Linked DNA regions of Macaca mulatta. The protein of the gene in region 2 purifies or fractionates together with the protein of the main gene of each other region. This does not show direct contact. Links are inferred from orthologs where the notes say so. Each region holds a gene or a part of one and is shown on either strand. Other genes may lie near its edges.

Evidence for each region. The genes of interacting proteins can lie anywhere in the genome.
Region 1: the proteins of HDAC4 (region 2) and PPP2R1A purify together in Homo sapiens (affinity purification with mass spectrometry; 3 studies listed by BioGRID, with this or other methods). This does not show direct contact. The link is inferred for Macaca mulatta from reciprocal best matches to the Homo sapiens genes HDAC4 and PPP2R1A.
Region 3: the proteins of HDAC4 (region 2) and TBL1XR1 purify together in Homo sapiens (affinity purification with mass spectrometry; 3 studies listed by BioGRID and IntAct, with this or other methods). This does not show direct contact. The link is inferred for Macaca mulatta from reciprocal best matches to the Homo sapiens genes HDAC4 and TBL1XR1.

Annotation. Positions count from the first base shown.
Region 1 is NC_133424.1:64,420,251-64,423,773, reverse strand, and holds the end of PPP2R1A (serine/threonine-protein phosphatase 2A 65 kDa regulatory subunit A alpha isoform), read right to left. Parts: intron 1,243-3,523; coding exon 1,151-1,242; intron 983-1,150; coding exon 966-982; 3' UTR 525-965; downstream 1-524. UniProt on the Homo sapiens protein: The PR65 subunit of protein phosphatase 2A serves as a scaffolding molecule to coordinate the assembly of the catalytic subunit and a variable regulatory B subunit.
Region 2 is NC_133417.1:144,295,680-144,299,060, forward strand, and holds the end of HDAC4 (histone deacetylase 4), read right to left. Parts: intron 2,700-3,381; coding exon 2,615-2,699; intron 1,492-2,614; coding exon 1,350-1,491; intron 1,013-1,349; coding exon 973-1,012; 3' UTR 565-972; downstream 1-564. UniProt on the Homo sapiens protein: Responsible for the deacetylation of lysine residues on the N-terminal part of the core histones (H2A, H2B, H3 and H4).
Region 3 is NC_133407.1:88,995,761-88,999,327, reverse strand, and holds part of TBL1XR1 (F-box-like/WD repeat-containing protein TBL1XR1), read left to right. Parts: intron 1-2,971; coding exon 2,972-3,073; intron 3,074-3,567. UniProt on the Homo sapiens protein: F-box-like protein involved in the recruitment of the ubiquitin/19S proteasome complex to nuclear receptor-regulated transcription units. Plays an essential role in transcription activation mediated by nuclear receptors.

The sequences.
Region 1 (3,523 bases), on a different chromosome or scaffold from region 2:
AACACAGGAAATGGCCCACAGGGGGTTCTCTGGCAATGTACAGCTAACTCTGCTTCCCATGTTGTGTACTTCTCATGTTGAAACTGTTACACACTTACCAGGTACTAATTCACTTGGTCCTCGCCACCCACCCTGCAATCTAGGTACTAATGTCACTCTCATTTTACACAATACAAAACTGAGCTCATAAAGACTTAACAAGCTACTCCTAGTCACACGTCTATTAACTGAAGGAGCCAAAATTTGGACCCAGGTAGTCTGGTTCCAAGGCACCTGCTCTTAACCCCCAAAATACTCGGCCAACATCTATGAAACTGAACTGCACTACAGGACAGCAGCCAGAGCACCTCGTGGACCCTCTGCTCCACAGGCCAGCAGCACTCCTGGGGGGATCCCCAGAGAATTCTCTTGGGACATAGGGGTATAATGGGTCCTGTAACAAGATCTTCTCCAGAGAAAAGGGCAGATGTTATGACTCTGGGGTGGTGTCCCCTCCTCCATGCTGATGACTAAGGCCAGAGGACTGACTACTTCTAGACCTTTATTTCTCTGTGAAAAGGGGGAAAATAAAAGGAATAAAATAAAAATGGCACAGTTGACACACACAAAAAAAACCAATGAGGGGAAGGACGGGAGGTGGAGAAGTAAATGGGGGAGGGGTTCCCATTACAGCAGCAGGATCCAGTGACCCGGGATGCTCACATCTCTCCCCGACGTGGGCAGAGTAGCCCCTTTCTCCCAGGGTCGCTGTCCTGTCCAACCCCGTGCTCCCCCAGCCCACTGGGAAGTGGACAGTGAGACATCTTCCCAGGCTGGGGAGAGGAGGAACCGTACTGGGGGAAGGGGCCTGGGGTCAGACCATGCACAGGGAGTGACAGCCAAAGGCCCCCCAGTGTCTCTCCAAAGAGGGACTTGTGGGGGTTGGAGGTGGACACTAGAGGCCAGTGTTTGCTCCTCTTCCAGCATCAGGCGAGAGACAGAACTAGGAAAACAGGAACAGGCAAGAATCAGAACCACAGCCCTCTCTCTGCCCACAATGCCATGGTACCTCCCCCTCCCAGAAGCTGCGACCTTGTTCTCAAAGGACAGCCTAGCACCTGTCCTCAAAAGTCCACCCTCCTGCTAGGGCTCCCTGCTTTCTAGGTCTTACCAGTCAGAGCCTCCTGGGCAAAGTATTTGACGTCCACATCCTGGTCCTGGGTCAGCTTCTCTAGGATGGGCTTGACTTCACTCTGCAGGGTGCTGGAAAGCGAAAAGGAGACAGGGAAAGGGAGCGTACTGGGGCAACAGGTGGGCACAGGGCTCTTGAGCAAGAGGGTATACACAGACATGGATACACCAAACCCAAGGTGGGAGGAGTCTCAAGAATCCAGGACATACACAGGAATGAGAAATCTCCGCTCAATGCACAGGAAGGTGACCATAGTTAACAATAATATTTTGCATATTTCAAAACAGCTATAAGAGAAGATTTTGAATGTTCTCATTACAAAGAAATGGTAAACATTTAAGGTGATAGATATGCTAATTATCCTAATTTGATCATTACACATTTGCACACATTATCAAAACACTACTATACCCCCATAAATATGTATAATTATGTGTATATTAAAAGTAAAATCAGGCCTGGCATGGTGGCTCACATCTGTAATCCCAGCACTTTGGGAGCCCAAGGTGGGTGGATCATCTGAGGTCGGGAGTTTGAGACCAGCCTGGCCAACATGGAAAAACCCTGTCTCTACTAAAAATACAAAATTAGTAGGGTGTGGTGGTGCACGCCTGTGATCCTAGCTACTTGGGAGACTGAGGCAGGAGAATTGCTGGAACCTGGGAGGTGGAGGTTGTGGTGAGCCAAGATTGCGTCATTGCATTCCAACCTGGGCAACAAGAGTGAAACTCCGTCTCAAAAAAAAAAAAAAAAAAAGTAAAATCAAGGCCAGGCGCGGTGGCTCATGCCTGCAATCCTAGCACTTTGGGAGGCCAAGGTGGGCAGACCACTTGAGGCCAGGAGTTCAAGACCAGCCTAGACAACATGGCAAAACCCCCGTCTCTACTGAAAGTACAAAAATTAGCCAAGCATGGTGGTGCACACCTGTAATCCCAGCAACTTAAGAGGCTGAGACACAAAAACTGCCTGAACCCAGGAGGCAGACGTTGCAGTGAGCCGAGATTGCACCACTGCACTCCAGCCTGGGCGACAGAGCGAGATTCTGTCTCAAAGGAAAACCAAACAAACTGCAAAAAAACCAACCAACCAACCAACCAATTACTTTAAAAGTCAGAAGTATGACAAACAACAACAGACTTCTCTGGGGCCCCAAACAGGGAGATCAGAGCAGGCTGGGAAAGTAGAACAGAATCACAGAACTCCCAAGTCTCTGAGGCCCAACAAATGGGTATCTTTCATTGATTTCACACATATTCACTGAGGCCTACAATGTATATGGAATGAATACGGAGCTAAATCACTCTTGTTTCTTGCCATGAGGCATCCGGGCCAGGAGCAAGACAGAGACCAAACTGCTACGTAAGAAGGGAGTGGTAAGTGGTCCCAAGGGAAAGTTCCTGGTCCTCCAGGAGCCCAGAGGAGGCAACCACTCTCATCTATGGGGCCCAGGGAACTCCGCCTGCACCGAGTCAATTGTTTTGGGAAATGGAGGAGGACTTCGGAGAGAAACTAAAGCTGAGGTTGTGTCCTGGAACAGATTCAGACAGAAATCAAAAGTGCAGGCTTTGTGGGTCCCCCACTTTCACTTGACAGCTCCCTGTTCTCCCCAAATAACCACTATTCTTACTTCCATCATCTCGATTCTTTCATTCTGCCTGTTTCTGAACTTGACATAAATGGTGTGTTTTCTTGAGTTTGGCTCCTCACTCAACATGGTATCTGTGAGAGCCACCTGTGTTGCCGCCTACAGCAGGCATTTGATTTTTCACTGCTGAATAGTTTTCCACTGTATGAATGAACTAAAATTTATCTGCTCTACTGTGGGCAGACATGGAGGTTTTTTCTGTTTTTATGGCTACTATGAATAAAGCTACCATGAACATTCTTCGGACAGAAACAGCACTCATTTCTCCTGGATAGAGACCCAGGAGTGGAAGGGCTGTTTCACAGGGTGTTTGTATAACAAGCTTCACCAAATTCCACTCCAGTTCCACTCCCGTTTTCAGAGTGATCAAACCCTAAATACACAGCCTCACGTGCAACGGATGAGAGTTCCAGCTCTATGTCTTCAACATTTGCACCATTGAGTCTTTTTTAATATTGGCTGTTCTGGGAGGTGTGTAGTGATATGTCACTGAGCTTTAATTTGCACTTTCCTGAAGGCTGATGATGCTGAACACCTTGTCATATGCTTACAAGCTATGTGGAGATCCTTTTTCAAGTGCCCATTCAAGTCTTTTTTCCCATCTCTTTCTTGCCCTGCCTGATTTGTAGACAAGTATTGTGGATGAGTCCTTTCTCAGAAACATACATTGCAGACATCTTCCTCCAGTCAAGGGCTTGCATTTTACT
Region 2 (3,381 bases):
TTGTTGGACTTCAAAACCTCCAACGGGATTTGCCACTTTTTTGGAACTACCTCCATTTTTCTTAAACAGCGATAAAGCAAAACAGGGACCGCCGGGCTGCAGCCCCTGGCCCCGGAGATGACGGCTGGTACCCGTGCTTGGGGCGTCAGGCCAGCTCGCGGTGCCAGCACTGCCAGACTCGGCTGGCCACAGGAAACTGTCCCACCAATTCCTGCTGTTTGTTTTTTCTTAAGGCATTGTTCCTCAGACTTCAGAAAACCCAGCCACAAAAATCCACCAGAGCAATAAAAAAAAGGCACAAACTCGCATCTTCCGATGGCTTTGAGAAACTCAAGCCAGCTCCCCCAGGCTCACATTCCTGTTTCTGTCCAGTTTTGTTTTCTTTAAAGGTCACTCCATCCCCCACCCGGGTGCAGACCCCCCACCGCACACCGCTATGGTTCACAGAGGCAGGCCACAGCCGTAGAAAACGTCCTCTTTAAAAAAAAATAAGCTACAAGATGAGTCGAGTGGTTTACACACAGACTGTGGAGTTGTGGGTAATAATCAAACTTTAAGCACCAGTTTTAATCAAGTTTGTTTTGTATTATTAGATCTTTGATATTCGTTTTCTGTGCCTCGTGTCAACTGAATTCGGCAGCTCGGCCGCCTGTTGCCACAGGCTTCTTTCCTCCACGGCGCCCCTCGCGGGACCCACCAGAGTGTGCTTGGCTTGCGCGTGTCCGTGTGTCTGCGCGTCGCCGGCGTCTGTCCCGTGTTCCCTGTGAGGCTGCCACACCCAGGTGTGCATGTGCGTCTTGAGACCTGTGGGCCTGGGTGGCAGAAAGGCTTCCCGTGGCTGTTGTGCGCCGGGTGTCCCTGGACGCTCCAAGAGAGCCCCACGGTGGGACGCAGGCGTGACACGGGGAAGTTTCTTGGCTGAGCTTCAAGACAGAGACAGACAGACAAGAGAACAGCAGCTGCGAGGGAGTGCTACAGGGGTGGCTCCTCTTCCATGGGCTCCTCGTCTGCTCTGTGGATCCCGCAAGAGAAAGAGACAGGGCATGGGGCAGGTGGACCACAGAGAGGAGAGAACAGAATGTGGGTTAAAGGCTGTGCGCTGCCCCACCCGCCAGCCTACCCAGGCCCGGGGGCACCGGGTCCATCTGTTCAGTATCTAACGCTCCTCATGCGTCTCTAAGGGGCTTTGGCACTAGAAGGAGGGGGCCCCGCTGGCCTGTCTCTAGTCTGTTTGGCATGGCACATGCCATAAATGTTCTGACCCTGAACAGAGTGTCCCTGGACACAGTGGGGCTGGGTGAGCCTGCAGGTGGGCAGCAGGGCAGGTGGCCGGCAGGGCAGGTGCTCACCTCTTTTCGGCGGGCTTCACGCCCACGGACAGCGAGGCCATGGCGGTGACCGTCTCGGCTTCTTCGTTCTCGCAGGTCTGAGCCTCGATCAGAGAACGCCCTGCCGTGGAGGTTGCACGCTGCAGGCAGCGCCAGTACTTGCCTGGGGTGGGGTGAGGAAGGTCGCTCAGTGACTACACCTTAGCAGGATGCACGGCGGCCCGGGAGGGTCCTGCGGGACCCTGAGCCTCAAACGAGATTGATCCCTTATGATTTTAAAAGCACCCGTCTTTGAAGAGACGCGAAGCAGAGGACTGCATGGCTACAAGCTCGCGAAGACCGAGAATCTCTGGAAATGTTTCCCCATCGTGAGTGGCTCGAGTCCCTCCAGGAGCAGCTAGGACTGCAGACAGAGGCTCCTGTGGGCCTGGCTTTCCACGCTCCTTTCTGCCCTGGGAGCTCAGGAGTGGGGGCTGCCAGCCTGCTGGGTTGAGCCTTCCTATCTCTGGGAGAAGATGAGCTGGTGGATTGTTGCTGGGGCTGAGGGATCTTCTGCCTGGGCCCTCACAGAGGCTGGGGGTGGAGGGGTCCTGCATCAGGTACAAGCGGGTGTATGTGGAAGGCTGGGCCTGGCCCAGGGTCAGCTTCAGGGCTCTAAGGCCAGGACTCCCCCACACAGGGAAATGGAGAGTCAAGCTCTGGACTACACCTGCTTGTGTAGACAGTCAATCATCTGGGTCATCTCAAAGGCAAGACAAGCTGGGCTTGCAACAATGACAGGGTGTGGGAGGTGCCTCTGAGACAGGCTGCATGCCACGCCCTTGCACCCAGGACCCACTCCTTGAGGGTCGGTGCCAGAACGCGGAGGGCCTACATCCTGCCTCTTTGCAGGGCCAAAGGTTTGATCTAAGGACGTGGGCTTCTCTGGTCCAGGGAAGAGGCCGGAGTCCCCAGGGTACAGGTTCATAGCCATGGCTCCCACTGCTAGCTGGGGACCTAGAGCAAGTGACTTCACACTGAGACTGTCTGGGCCTTGATTCTCTAGACCTACAAAATGGGCTGATGGAACCATCCCAGTAGGCCGGCGAAAATCCAGTGGGAGTTAAATGTGAGTCTCTACTAGCTCAAGAAATGCAGCTGAAAGCAAGGCCTCCTGCTGCAGGCCTGGGGAAGCAGCTGGCAGTGGGATAGAGAAGAGCTGGGGGTATAGGGGGACAGGGATGTGGGGCAGTGGGGTCCCGCCACCAGGAGCGTGTCCCCTGTGAGCACCCGGCCAGGCAACTTACTGTGGATTTCCATGACTTTCTCCATGGAGCGGACAGCGTTTGCATTGGGTCTTTGCTGTAAAACCTTTTCTGGGAGAGGATCAAGCTGGAAGAAAATACGTAAGAATATAAAGACTGCCAATATAATCCACACGTACATTAGATGGGGTGTACCGAGACTGCAACTGTTTCCTGAGCACAGAGTCCCTTGTGGGGTGCATTTGCCCATAGAGTAGAAAAAAATAACTTTAAAAAGTCAAATGTGCTGTGGCATTTATTATATAACTTTTTTGTAAAAGTGGATTTATGTAGGCATTTTTTTAGGGCACTATAAGGTATATTTGTGGGTTCCTACAAGTAGCAGGAAGAAAGACGGCCCCCAGGAATGGGCTGGCACCAGCATGTGAGCTTGGTATCCACCATCGATGCCACAGGGTTACATTAGGGGGAGGGATGCTTACTTCATCATTTTCCTTTTCCTTGTCTTTCATTAATAAATAAAAATGTTTGAATATCCCCTGATCTTGGTTTTCTTTCAGGGCAGTGGAAGGTGGGGTTGGGGGAGATGAAATGGAAGAAGAAGTCAGATCTCTCAGAGGGAATCCTGCACACCAAGTTTTTCCCTAAGTACTGGCAGCAGATAAAAGCAGGGAAGAAGTTTATAGGTAAATGACAGGGCAACAGGGCAAAGCATTTGCAATACAACAATTAAAAATGGTTGACTGGCCAGGTGCAGTGGCTCATGCCTGTAATCCCAGTACTTTGGGAGGCCAAGGCAGGTGGATCAC
Region 3 (3,567 bases), on a different chromosome or scaffold from region 2:
TGCCCAGTCTGGCCTCAACCCCCTAGGCTCAAGGAAGCCACCTGCCTTGACCTTCCAAAGTAATCCTGGGATTACAGGCATGAGGCACCATGCGCAGATCATGTGGAAGTTTTTAATGTTAATGTTTAGATGCTATTTATCTTTATCTTTTTAAAATTAATTATTTTTAGAGATGGGGGTCTTGCTGTGTTACCCAGGCTGGACTCCTGAGCTCAAGAGATCTTTCACCTCACCATCCTGTGTCTACTGGGTCTGCAGGCATATGCCTTGTGCCTGGCTGGATCTTTCTTTTTTAATGGCTTTTTTTTTTTTTTAATAGCTTAATTCATTTTTCCTTAGAGATATCACTGAGGCCTGATATTTTTTCATGAAGTATCTAAGTTTTATTCCTTTACATTAATGTTTTTAGCCCCTTTGGAACTGATTTTTATATATCGTGTGAGGTACAGATATTTCCATTTGGGCAGTCAGTTGTCTTAGAACCATTCATTGTCCCCTTTCTGTTTTCATAATGCCACTTATTTCATACACCCAGTTCATGTATATGCGATTTGTTTATACCTTCTTTGTTATTCCATTTGTATATTTGCCTTATCTGAATCAATAGCACAGTTTTAACAATTCTCACTTTATAAATCCCTCTTGTTATTGTTCTTCAAAATTTTTTCTGTTCTTGCCACTTTAGTCATCCGTATTTCCAAAACAGCATACAATTTTGGGTTTTGTTTATAAGTGCCTTGAATTTATAGGTGAAATTAGGGAAAATTGTTACTGAGTTTTATCACCCATAAATATGTTATACCTCCGTTTATTTGTCTTTTATTCCTTCAGTGAAGTTTTATAATTTCTCTGAGGATCTTTTTTTCCTAATGTGTTTTGAGGTACCTTATGGTTTTTATGTTACTGTGAATGACCTCTTTTAAAAAATATATTCCTTTTATATAATAGGTGTTGCTCACATTTAGAACATTTTCAGTGAACTCATTTAGTCCGTTGTGACAAAATCAATTTTAATGAAATTTGGGCATAGAACTGTAGAGTGCTGATGGAACATACAACAAGACATTTAAGGGCATTTGACCAACTGTTGATACTATTTTGTTTTCACTATTGTGTACCAAAAGTCTTACTTTTTCAAAGTTTGAAAATAGTAAAATAGTGGATTTTCAGTGCAGGAGAAAGTTATTATCCTATTGTTATATATACATCTAGGTTTTTTGTTTTCCCCTTTCTTGCATGATGAATTGCCTAAGCATTTGATGAGTAAATTTTAGAAGTCTTGTGCCAGTATACATACAAATTTGAGGTAGATGCCGACGATCCAAGCCATTGGCCTTTTTAAATGTCTTAGCTCTGCCTTGTTGACCATAATGTTTTGGTTCATTATAGCCCAGTTCAAGCTTAGAGATTGGTAAGTGCTTTTAAAAGAAAGTTGTTTGTTTTTTTCATCTCAAGTTGACTGTAGATTGAATGTCTGTAGGTTGACTATAGATTTTATTTTTTTTTATACCTCAGCAAACTTTAGATTTTGTTGTTTCTACTTTTTTCTCTTCTCATTAACGTAGATATTTAAAGCCTGCTATACTTGAACTTAATCTCATAAATTATGAGAAATTTTAAGTAAACAAAGCAGTTGAGCCTTCCCAGCCTGATAATCGGTAGCAATGTGTCAGTACCAGTGCATCTGTGATTCTGTGATTTGTGCCACGTTACCAGGCTAAATTTGAAGAGGAAAACTCGGTCAAACATTCTTCCAGCTTAGTTGTCATCTTGGATAGGCTGAATGGGAGATATTTGCAAGGTGCATGATTTGTTGCCATGTTGTTTTACGTAGATCTGCCACCTCTAGCTTGACTTCAGGTTACCATAAAGCTGCAGAGGTCACTTTTCTGATTTGTCGGGGCAGAACACCTGAAGCACATTTTTGAGTTTTCACAACAGGACCTCTGATCTTTGTCCTGCTATGTTGACTGGTTTCATAGAAGAATATGTTTTTGTACTGAGTTTTAATTCTTCAGTGGCAGCTGAATAATAAAATAACTTTGTTACATTTATGATTCAGCTTAATTAATGATGACATTGTTAGTATTCCTGCCTGTGTTTTTTGTTTAAACTTATAACATCTTTCAAGAATAGTGTACATATCTGGCTGGGAACTGTGGTGCATGCTTATAATCCCAACATTTTGGGAGGCTTGGGTGGGTGAATTGCTTGAGGACAAGAGTTCAAGACCAGCCTGGGCAACACGGTCAGACCTTGTCTCTACAAATAATTTTTTTAAAATCAGCTGGGCATGGTGGCATGCACCTGTAATCCTAGCTACTCAGGAGGTGGAAGCGGGAAGATCACTCTAGCCCAGGAGTTAGAAGGTGCGATGAGCTATGATTGCACAACTGCATCCAGCCTGCGTAACAGAACAAGACTCTGTCCAAAAAAATAAAAAAGGAATGTACATACATTATTTTAGCTTTTTTTATAATCCCCTAGCTTAGGAACTGGTCAGTAAATATAGAGTGAATAACAGAGTTACACTGGAATTATCTTTATTAGTTTGTTATACTTCCTCTTTAAGAAGTTCTGTCAAAGAAATTCTGAATTTATTTTGTTTCTTTACATGTTAGCTAGACTCATGCGTCATTTAGCAACAACAAAAACTTATTTGATAGACTGAATGTTTACTTCTAGCTATTGTTGGCTATGTCAAAGAGACCAGATACCTTAGCCAAGAATGGTTATCAACACTGGAGAAACTGAATATGTGTGTGAGTAATCTTTTGAGAACAGGCTGGTATCATCTTTTTATAAAGGGATCGTATTACAGTTCTAGAATTTCAGAACTTATTTTGTATAGTTGAAGCTAAGTCCCTCCTTTGATTGCTAGAAATAAGGCCATGTAATATTTTTATTTCAGCATTTGGATTTATTATAATATGTATTATGATTTTTAAGATTTTGTTTTTCATTCTTTTAGACAGGTGCTCTAGTTCACAGCTATAGGGGAACAGGTGGAATTTTTGAAGTTTGCTGGAATGCAGCAGGAGACAAAGTTGGAGCCAGTGCATCAGATGGTTCAGTAAGTATAGTAAAGTGTTTCCAAAGAGGGTGTGGGTGGGTATTCACATCAGAATGCAGCTTATTGTTAGTGATACCAAAGTTGTTTTTTTTTTTTTTTTCTCAAAATAAATTTTAAGATATGATACTGATTTTTTTTTTTCCTGAGGCTGTAAACTTCTCATGTGCGTTGGATTTAAATAGTGTAAACCAAATTTAGGCTGTCCTTACCAAAAGAGTACCTTATAATCTAGAAATGGACAGTTATTTTTAATGTGAACCTTCATTTATGAAATTAGGTATACCAGAGTAACATTCTGAGAAGGATTGAAATTTTTAATGTGTATTTCTACCTTCTCCTCTTCACAGAAGAGTTTTTTTTTTTTAGCTCAGGGAAGGCAGAACTAGAGGTGGTTCCTGTGTTGAGGAATGTGTGATACTGGAAGATTTTCAGAATGAGGTTGGCCAAGTCTTTACAACAATGCAAATATGGCTTCCAAAGCTGTAGAAGTAACA